Linked DNA regions of Drosophila melanogaster. The protein of the gene in region 2 interacts with the protein of the main gene of each other region in a biochemical or structural test. Each region holds a gene or a part of one and is shown on either strand. Other genes may lie near its edges.

Region 1 (7,890 bases), on a different chromosome or scaffold from region 2:
GAATTACAAATTTGATCTCTCAGCTGGGTTCGGAGAACCTTACAATTTTGCTTGCATAAACAGTAGATATGGCTCTGCATAAATTTCTTATACAACTAATCAGGTTGTTCGTGGTCACATGGCATTAAAAAATGAAAGAGAATTGGGCGGGGTGGGGTGGGTAAGGGTTTTCGTGGTAGTTCTGGGGGATAGGGACTTTCTCTTATAGTAGTGTCTTTCATAAAGTTCTATCCGTATGTGGATGCTACTTCGCGAATTTATAGATATCGACTTTAAATGTTGATTACAGAATAATCTCATGATAGGAATATGTAGTCCTAAAATATGAATAAGTGATCTTTATCTACAGAAAGGAACGCAGTGTTCGCAATAATGCGAGGATCCGATCGAAATGAATATAAATGCGATTAGTCCTTCCTGATCTGCACGCATCCCGAGGTATTCAATGCTCTGCCTATGGCGGCAACTGCGAGTGCTGTGATCAGCGGAAGATGGTGGTTTTCTGAGGATCCACGCTCGAGCTGATCACTAGCGGCTTCTCCACCGATGGCTTCTCGTGCAGCGACAGATTGGCCACGCTGCTCGACGTGGTCTTGGTGGAGTACTGGCTCTGACGTTGGTTGCTGCCATCGCGAACACTCGAGCATCTGTGTTTGTGTGAAGTGGTGGAGTGGTTATGACGTCCATTGCGTGGGCAGCGTGGAATAGACAATGGCGGTAAATCTGATTAGAATTGGTTCGTTTGAGTGCTTGGATTTTAAGTTAGGGAAAAGCAGACACATTAAGCGATCCTACAGGATATAAACAGGTTACCTTCACCAAGACACAAAAGTGGATGGTCATTATGATTAGTTTTCGAGGGGTTAGAGGTTATCAGGGTTATCTAATGGTTTCTTCCAACTGGGGTTAACTACAATGTCAACTACTTCTCCATTTCCAGAGGATTACCTGTGACCATTTTGATTAGATGGCTATCTTCGGGGTCGGACTCGGGTCGGTGGCATTGCTACCGGCCTTGTCAACAGCCTTAAGGTGCAGCTTTCTTGGCAGCACATTCGCGTCAGAAGTGATGGAAGTCGAGGTAGTGGTCGAGCTCAGGCCATTCGAGCGCCTTTTCTCCAGGAGTCTTCAATGAATAGCGATCGATGATGATCAAATTGATGTTGAGACACATGCACATATGGACACACATGGTGGATGCAAACATAAGTTTGTGTTTAGATCAGGGCAATTAGGAATGGTACTTCTGTTTAGTAGCTACAAAGACGCGACCGGACTGAGTCACCGAGCTAGGCGGCTGGAGATTCAGTGCTGTGTTGGCTGTCAGTGTTCGGTTTAGAGTTAGTCTGCAGGCAGTGTCTGTTGGTGTTGAGCTTGCTTTTAAGCAATATCGAAAGCAGTCTGACAACGAAAATAAGTACAACATATAAGGTTTAAAATAATCACAGATTGCGCGCTGTCAGAACTCGAAGTGCATATGTATTCCCATAATCTTCAATGGGTCTTCCATCTTAGTGCAAGAGATTTAAGGAACGTGGAATTAGACAGGAATCATATAACCCGAAATTTTCAATATTCTTGATTTAAGCGCGGGTTAGCAAAGGCCACAACAAACGAGCAACCGAGCTAAAGGAGACCTTCTTACTGAAATCGACGAAATCGATTTAGACTTCGTGTGAATGAATACCACTGGTGGACCCATTGGCAAATGCGTTGCGGATCACCACCAGCTTGCGGATCTGGTTGGAGGCGTCCATAAACCGCTGCTTCATCGAGAACGAAGTCGGTCCCATCGTTACGCTCTCAGTCTGCCGCAGACTGCGCACACGTATCGTTCTGAGAATAGTCGGGGTTACAGATATGATGGTGGACAGAGTCAGAGACACGACACACAAGAGGGAGTCACGAGTCGTGTGAATGGACAAACGCCCAGTGGGCGGGACAGGACATAACGTGGAGTTAAGAATAGAGCAACACTTACCTGTTTGTGATCAAGTGCTTGACCTTCTTCTTCATTACAAACAACATGAAAATGAGAAAGCCCTGCATCGCATTGGCCAGATCCGAGATATAAAAGAGCTTAGACCATCCCTTGTCGCTGCCCACGAAGTACGAGATAAGCTCCGTGAGCCAGGTGATGCCCATTATGAGAAAGAGGCGTAAGAACAAGCCGAATCTATAGTTGGACCAAGCACGATAAAAACGTCTTTAGGGGAAGGTGGATAAGAAATACTGAAAGGATGACACTCACTTGTCCTTCTCGGTTCGTAGGTTCTTGGTGCTGTTCTCACTCGCAATTATCCGGGCCATCTCGCGCTGCACGCCGTGAATCTTAATCGCCGTCATTATGAACATGATGGTGTTGGCAACAACGATCGCCAGAATGGGACCGTAGAAATAGATCATGGCTGCCCAGTTGCTCATATCCAGCCAGCAGTATACACCATCACCAATACCTGGCTTTAGGTTCGCGGGCAAATTGGTAAGTTGCTGGGCGCAATAGGTGAAGGCTAGGAAAACTAGGGCAATACCCCAAGAGTACAGCGAATAAAACAGGAAGCGTTTCTTCTCCTGGAATCGGTTAATTCCTCTCGTCCCTCGGAAATTGTGCCACAAGTCAAAGCTAATGACACTTAGCCACATGTAGGCACCCATAAAAAAGAAATATGCTGTGTATCCAAACACTTTGCATGTAACACCAGTGGCATCAACTTGATAGAGTTGCACGTAGCACAGCGAGGAGTAACCCACGGAGAGCCCTATTAAATAGCAGACCAAGCTCTTTCCGTGCTGGTTGCGGAGCTCGGGAATCAATAGGTAAACGGCTATGGTAAGCATCATGAAGGGAATGGAGAACATCATGGCTAGTGCAAGGAATTTCGGTCGGATTAATAAAATGCTGTTTACAAGAAGTAAAGGTGATCGTTTCACTTACCATACGAATTGATAATCTTTACCGTGCTATGATCGTCCTGCATGTCACAATTGGCCGGATGTATGGTGTAGAACATGTCCGATTCGTTGACGTATGTCGGAACCATGCAGAACTCGTTCTTCCTGATTAGCAGTTTATCGTCCACACGGAGCATGGATCCGTTCTCAAAGAGTAGATAATCATCCCAATTGTTGGTCTCTGGCTGCAGAGAAAACATCTTGGGGCAGGGTCTGAAGCTTTGGATAGCAAACTGCGTAAACATGTTGACCAATATCGTAGACTCGTTGCGGAAGGTTATATTGAGCATAGGCGGATCTGGCCACGTTCGGTTGTCCGAGTGGTCTATTATGCATCCGTCAACTTCAGAGTTAAAGACCTGCCGCCACGGGCAGCAGATATTCAGGCAGGACTTGAACTTGCAGACGCATCCCCTAACGTGTTCCCGAACCTCTATGCGCTCCGTTAGCGAGCTGTGTATGTAGTCGTACGTCCCGACCAATTCTGCGGGAACTATTGTGCCGTAGTAATCATAGCTTCCGTTGGGAAAGAGCCTATGGCCCGTCAGATTCACTGTATCGTAGAAATTACAGGGCACATTTGGATCGTCTATGGTGTGGTAGTGGTCTCTCTCGGCCATAACGTAAGTGCCGAAGGGAATCCCCGGAATCAACCGGAACACGACCAAGCACAGGACGCCCAGCAATGTAACTCCGCAGTATAGGGATCCTCCAGGCTGATGAATTTTCTTCGGCATAATGAAGGTTCTGAAATTCGTAAATCTTTATTAAATATTATTACAAATATTTGTTATTATTCTTTAACGTTTATTCTTTTAACGTTTAAATATTCAGTGGAATATAGTTATTACAGTTAGTCATCAGTCGCAACACGCAGCAATTAAGCCTTAGCAAGTGAAGTCACTAATTAAGACCTATTTGCCGATTAGTTAGTCGTTTAATGTTTATCTAAGTGAGTTCACTAATTTGGGCAATAGAGCAACATCTAGGGACCCATTAGCGGGGACGAGTGGTGAATGATCTATGCGGACAACAGGTTGTCGAAAAGAATTAAGGAGGCGAAACAGGATAGCGTCACAAGCAATTAGCAGCCAACGTGTCCCATGGGGAGGAACCAGGGGCGGACTACCCACGACCTGAGCGCCATTCTCCGCGGGACATCAATCATAAGGTCAACCACGCAGGGAGTGCAGACTGAGCAAACATTTATGGATTCGTGTTAAATTGATAGTAACTGCCATTGTCTGTCAATAGAGGTGACAGTCTCCCCGAACTCCACTCCAAACCAATCCCGATCTGCCCACTTTTCAAGCGCTGCTAACGAGCCCGTCCATAAATTCATTACCAGTGCGAAAAGTTATACCGCTCGCTATCTTATCTTGTATCATTAGCCTTTGGGGACCAACTAATTCATTGATCCGCTGATTGTTTGCCTTTGGGGGAGAAGCAGAAGGGTAACCTGCGGCATTGTCAGGAGTGTGGGCCACTAAATTAGTCCGAATTTATGGGATGCGAACGGGTGGAGAAGGACAAACACATTAAACTCCGCACAGTTGGCTAATGGGGAAAATGAATACTGGCAGTGGGTGGGGAAGGGAGAGCCAGAGCACTTATCTTGCGGTGGGAAATTAGCATAATTAATCGCTGAGCACATGCACTTGGGAAATTTCAGCGGACCAAATTCAATCGTATATATCTGCGCACTTTAAATGTGCGAATGAGTGCTGCGGATGTTTGAAAAATAATCAAAACATGCGGAACATTAAAATCATGAAAACAATTAGCCATAAAATTGAATTATAGCCAGCGGTCTTTTCCAATAAACGGATTCTCGAAATTTCCTTGCCCTCGCGAGTGCGCCAAACTTATTTGATAAAAGCAATATTTCTTCCAAATTTTATTTCAAAGCTCTAAAGTTTTTTGTTTATTTATATTTTTATTGCCAAACAATTACTCTTGCTGAATTGTTTGACTACATTTTTACCCTAAGAATTACACATCAAGATAATTCAAAATATCAATGCACGAAAAGATTAAATATTCAAATCGGAGCTTACAATCATTGGATGACTAATGACGTTAGGAAAGGGATTCTACGAATAGCGCTACATACAATCCTCATCTGATTGATGGCATATTTTTAATTCGAACGCACGAGAGTGCAGAATAGGGAAAGTTTATAACCCGCTCTACTAAACAACATAGAAAGACAGTAATTTGGTTTTGATCAATATCTTTCTTTCACAAGTCCATTGCGAGAAGCCCATTTCCAATTTTGCTATTCTGGTGTTTAATGGATACGAACTTTAATCGGAGTACGATGGCGAACTTAAGATATGTTTACGATTTCGTAGCCGACTCGTATCAAATTTCTTATATGTGGTCGGTAACCGATAAGATAAAGTCAATTGGGAAACGACGCCTGCTAATATCTGACAAAGGTATGACTTTCTTGTTTATTTATATATGTAGAATGGCGACATGAGCGACTTATCGAATTGAATCTCCACTTCTAGTTCAATACGTAAACCATTTACTTACAGATGCCCGGCTATGCGACTTCTTAGGTTTTTGGCTTTGGACTCGCTTATTATCTGGTTGATTATCACAGTTTGCGAATTGTCCATGGTCAGGATGTGGCTGAGTAACTTCTCTGAGTCATCCAGTGGTTCTAAGCCCTCCTAAACGTCCATTAATTCTTAATTAACTTTGGCAAAACCTTAGGCATTGAACACATTGAAAATTTATCAGTCCGGAGTCACAAGGCGTATACGCAATTTAAGCAAACTGCTACACCATTCACATATTAAATCGAAAATGATCGAACAAAACAATAACCATATACTATGTGCGTTGTAAACTACACGGAAACGAATTTAAACTCAAGTGAACTGAACTCACATAAATAATAATCTGCGCGTTTTTTATCCGCATTCGGTTTTTATGCAAACTGTCTGGTTTTTTCGTTGATGTTTTTATTCAACCACTTTACTGCTTATCACGTATGCCACAAAATCATTGGAAATATTTCTCATATGTATGCCCATTATCTTGCCGAGGGCTGCGCGGTTTTCAGTCCGTTTGAGAAGCGAAACTAATCGCCAAAGACAGGAGACACTACTACCGTGTGTGAAATCCATAATGTGAAGTCACCACACCGAAGTTGAACTGTGGTGAACTGCAGCGTGTTATCGCTTCTCTAGATAAGAAGTGGTTACAGGGTCCAGTGTTCTTTTCACCACAAACAAACACTTAACAAAACAATTTTTAATAGCCAGCCAATCCATTGACGGGCTTGCTTTTGCTGCTGCTCTACCCCATGTACGAATATTTCGTGAGAAAATTCCAACTGGAGTATTTTTAGACCCCCGATGCTGATGCCTCTGCTGTCCGTCGATTGTAAACAAAGGCGGGCGGTTCTATCAATTGATTGCCATTAGAGTGGGCGGGTGGCAAGTTCGCCAAATATTATTCCACTGACACCCAAGGGGCTTTCAAGGGGAGAGAAAGGCTCGACAGTCAACAGATCCCGTTCGGGAACTCGAGACCCGGGAAGATAAATGGCCGTCAGCATGGGTGTCTGTTAGCACTCATCGGTTTTGATGAAACTCGTGTCAAAGGCCATTTTGAAACGGCACATAAATGTGAACCCCGTAGAAGTTCTTATTTCTATACTATTCATAAGTTCCTGTTGTATTGTATTTCTATTAAATTCTGGGACCTAACGAAGAAGGCAGCACAAACGAACCGATGATGGTTTTCAAAATGAATTAACTTATTAATGGATCCCATTAATAGTCTTGGCATGCTGCATCAAATCTCATTTGGAAAGCGAAATCCCTGCTAGTGGTTGCTCAATTCATATTTTTAGACTTTTCTTCGTAAGGTATAAACATTACTTAGTTTATGGAGTGCTAAGTAGTTGGATGCATGACATTAAAGGGAACTGTTCACATTAACCCCTAGAGATTAATGTGTTTTGTTTTTGTGAGTGAGATCTCTTTGTAAGACACAAATCAAGATAGAAAAGCCATTGGGAAACACAGTTCGGTAACTAAAAAATCATTCCACTAATTAATTGGTACATGCACTTGGCTTATCATGAATATAAATGCACAGCGGGATACACGATGGCCCCACCCGAATCTCTAATGTAATGATAATAACAATTGAATGAAACTTTAGTCGCAACTGCACTTGTAAAGTGACCTAGGATATGTATGTATGTATGTATATACTTAAGCACTGGACATGTATTATATATGTTTATATAATACTCCGGGGTGCATGATATATTTTTATTTAATACTCAGAAGCTAGGGGAAATTGTAGTGAAATAAACAAACCTCAAAGCAAACAATAAACAATATTCCAAGATGTTTCAACAACAATTCCCAGCCAAATGTGCGAAAGTGTAAACAACATTTAACAAATTCGAATTCTGAATCGAAAGAAACTGTTCAGTCCGATTGAATGACCAAGGTGCGGCCTTTGCGGGGTGGCCAGCCATTTCACTATAATAACCAATTTTCCCAGTGACTCAATAAAATTGCATCGAGCGGGAGCAGTTGGGTAAACAGTCAGTATTTGTCACGTAATTAGTAGTTTTAAGCTTTGATTTCTAAACCGATATTTTCAAACTCGTAAACGCAATGGCCAGTAAACTTTTATGACAATTGCCTGAAATCGTACACGGTCCTACAAGTGCGAATCTTGCCAATTGAGTCAGGCACCTGTGTCAGCACAATCCTAACCAGGTCCAATTTAATTTGTAAAATGAATTGCTAGGAGCCATTATATTGTATGAACGATCCCAGTAGTCGGCGTGCACTTACCGAGTTCAGGTGATGAATACTCGTAGTGTAGGCAACTTAAAGTGGCTTGCTGAGCAATAGAGTTCTTCCTGTTGTTGTTTTGTTGTCCCAGCTCGCGCACTTT
Region 2 (2,678 bases):
CCATGTCCGCCGTTTTCCACGTAGTAAGGATTCTGGGGACGAGCTGAAGTCCATTGTCCACTGATTAAAAGGATCAGTGACATAGCCAACCTTATAGATAAGAGTTGCAAAAACATTTTCGACACGAAATCGACCCAACGGCAGCGTTGAATATTCAAAACAGACTGAGCAGCGCTGTCGAGTCGAGAACAGACGATCTAACCGAGTTTAGTATTTATTATGAGCCGCTGATAAGCCAAGTTCATGACAGCAGATAAGGCATCAAATTACATAGCAGAAGAGTAGGGAATAACTGATGCAGCTGAATGCACCGGGAATTGTTTGAGTTAGACACTGACTCACAGTGATGGCCACCAAACTAAAATTACTGCGTTTTACACGACGCTAAGTTTCCCCCAATAGCGTTTCTCCCACAATTGTGATTTGGGTTTTCTATGGGTATTTTTGTCTGCCTCCGAATCGTTTATAATAGTCACCGAAAAAACCATTAATCAATCAAAAGTTCTACACAAATATCACTTTATTGGCTAACATCAATCTTAGCGACTACAGATTACGCCGGCTTTCTGCATCGTTTTCCGAACAGCTCAAAGCCAGGCTTACATTTTTGGGTCGTCTCCAGCAATATTCGGTTGTCTATAACTGGCAGCACAGTGGTGTTTTCATTAACCAGCTCCTCCGATCCGCTGGTGATCTGTTCTGTGCTGTTTGTACTTTCCAAACGGAGTGCTATTGTGGATGCGGGTTCCTCAGTTGTCGTTGTGGTCGAGTATGTGAATCTCGAGCTGGTATCGTCGTCATCCTTTGGAAAAACGATGCGATCGTTACCACTGGGCCGTGTTCTCGCCTCGGTGAGGAGGAAGACCAGCGGTAGGATGCACAGCACCAATGGATTAATACGTATCAACATTATCTCCGAGATGCACGCTCGTTTGCTACGATGAAGCTTCGATGACTGAGCGCGGAAACAACTGGCTGGCCATTTACATTCAGATTTTCATTCCCAGCGAAACCAGATAAATGATGGGAGCAAATCGTTGGGAGACAACAATAAGAATGGCAAGGGAGCTCATAAGCTCTCCCATGAAAACAAAACGTAAACAAAGCAGAAGAGTAGCGTTAAGCTTTTCAGATATATCTCAGCTAGTCTACACTGACAGAACTGAATTATCATAAAGCTTTTTTTTAATGAAATATGTTGGTGCCCAGCTATTTCGAACGTTTTTTTTTTTTTTTGTTGATTTGCAATGCAATAATTTACACTCAATACTTTTGAATTTATTTCTTACATTTTTGTCAATTAATTCTCACTTCTTTCCACTTTTATGGCTCTAATCTAGGCAATTTTCCGGCAACGATCTTTTACTGTCAGAGTAGTGCCGTTTGGACAAATTCGCGTTGTTTCCAGGACAATTCTAGGCTCAATACCCAAACTAGTGGAATCGCTAGCAATGGTTGGTTTCGTATTATCTGACTCTGAGGGAAACGCAAACTGATCGCTAGACACTCGAGCTGCACGATTTGTATCCAATGCCAGACACAGCCAGACAAACAAAAATAGCATCTTCGGCCAGGGAAGACGCCGCGTAATTGCCATCGTAAAGTTGGTTTTGTTTATTTGCAATCGACAGAGTCTCTGAAGTCTCAGTTTCCGGCTCTGTCTCACTTTCTGATTCAGATTCGGATTCACTTCGAGAGGATAACTTTAAAAGGAAGCTCAAGTAAACACATTCACTTCATTCAATATCGCACTAAGTTCTAAATCTGTGGAGGTTCAATTTTTAAGAATTTATAGCAGTTTCTAAGACCCTAAGATATTCATCCCGTCGTAGATACTATAAAATATTATTTAAAAATTATTCTAAGTGTGATTCAGTTTTTCAGCACCTTATTATAGAGCGAATCACTTGGAATGGTTATAGTTGAAAATGGGAAAAGCTTACCCATTCAAATAAGTTTGTATGCAGAGATATTCATTATATCCGTTTCCCGTATAGAATATTTGATTCGTTGAAACACTTACTGATATACTAACGAAGACGTTACCAGCAGCAAGATGTCTGCATTTGAGTTCATTTATAATTTTTATTACTAAAATCTAAGCATTATCATTAATTTCGTAAATCTATTACTAATATTTATAGATCTGATAAATTTTACTGGGTTTCCCTAATCCTTTGCAGCAAATGCTGGATCATAAAATTGTATTTGCCCCAGAACGCAGAAGCTGGTCAATTAAGAATCTTTTGAGGAGGTGTGTTTTAAATGTCCATATTTGTATGTCCTTATTTGTATGTCCATATTTGTACACATGAGAATGAAATTATATGGACATATGCAAAAGCATCTTTGATATGCTAATGATAGAACGATTTGACTAATGCATTCAATATAATTAGCGGGACTATTCCAGAACTGGGAATTTTAGACGTGCACAAATGACAAGAGAACAAATATTGAATTCTAGAACCACTGTGTTTAATCGATGCTACAAATATTTAAGTAAATCTGGGAAGTACTCCATTATAACAATATTTTTAATATATTTTTTTTTTAATTTTTGTTAATTAATTCTCAGTTGTTCCCAGTTTTATGGCACTAATCTAGGCAATTTTTCGGCAATGATCATTTACGGTCAGAGTAGTGCCCTGTGGACAAATTCGCGTTGTTTCCAGGAC

The links. The genes of interacting proteins can lie anywhere in the genome.
Region 1: the proteins of Gbp1 (region 2) and mthl10 form a complex in vitro, tested with the Drosophila melanogaster proteins (one study listed by BioGRID).

What each region holds. Positions count from the first base shown.
Region 1 is NT_037436.4:332,994-340,883, forward strand, and holds mthl10 (methuselah-like 10), read right to left. Parts: upstream 6,024-7,890; 5' UTR 5,494-6,023; intron 3,700-5,493; 5' UTR 3,690-3,699; coding exon 2,936-3,689; intron 2,865-2,935; coding exon 2,252-2,864; intron 2,207-2,251; coding exon 1,982-2,206; intron 1,837-1,981; coding exon of another isoform or gene 1,665-1,836; intron 1,402-1,664; coding exon of another isoform or gene 1,290-1,401; exon of another isoform or gene 1,266-1,289; intron 1,127-1,265; coding exon of another isoform or gene 964-1,126; exon of another isoform or gene 949-963; intron 648-948; coding exon 482-647; 3' UTR 323-481; downstream 1-322.
Region 2 is NT_033778.4:17,134,730-17,137,407, reverse strand, and holds Gbp1 (Growth-blocking peptide 1), read right to left. Parts: upstream 958-2,678; 5' UTR 911-957; coding exon 554-910; 3' UTR 505-553; downstream 1-504. Other genes in the region: Gbp2 (Growth-blocking peptide 2), read right to left, coding at 1-116; CG11400 (uncharacterized protein), read right to left, coding at 2,604-2,678.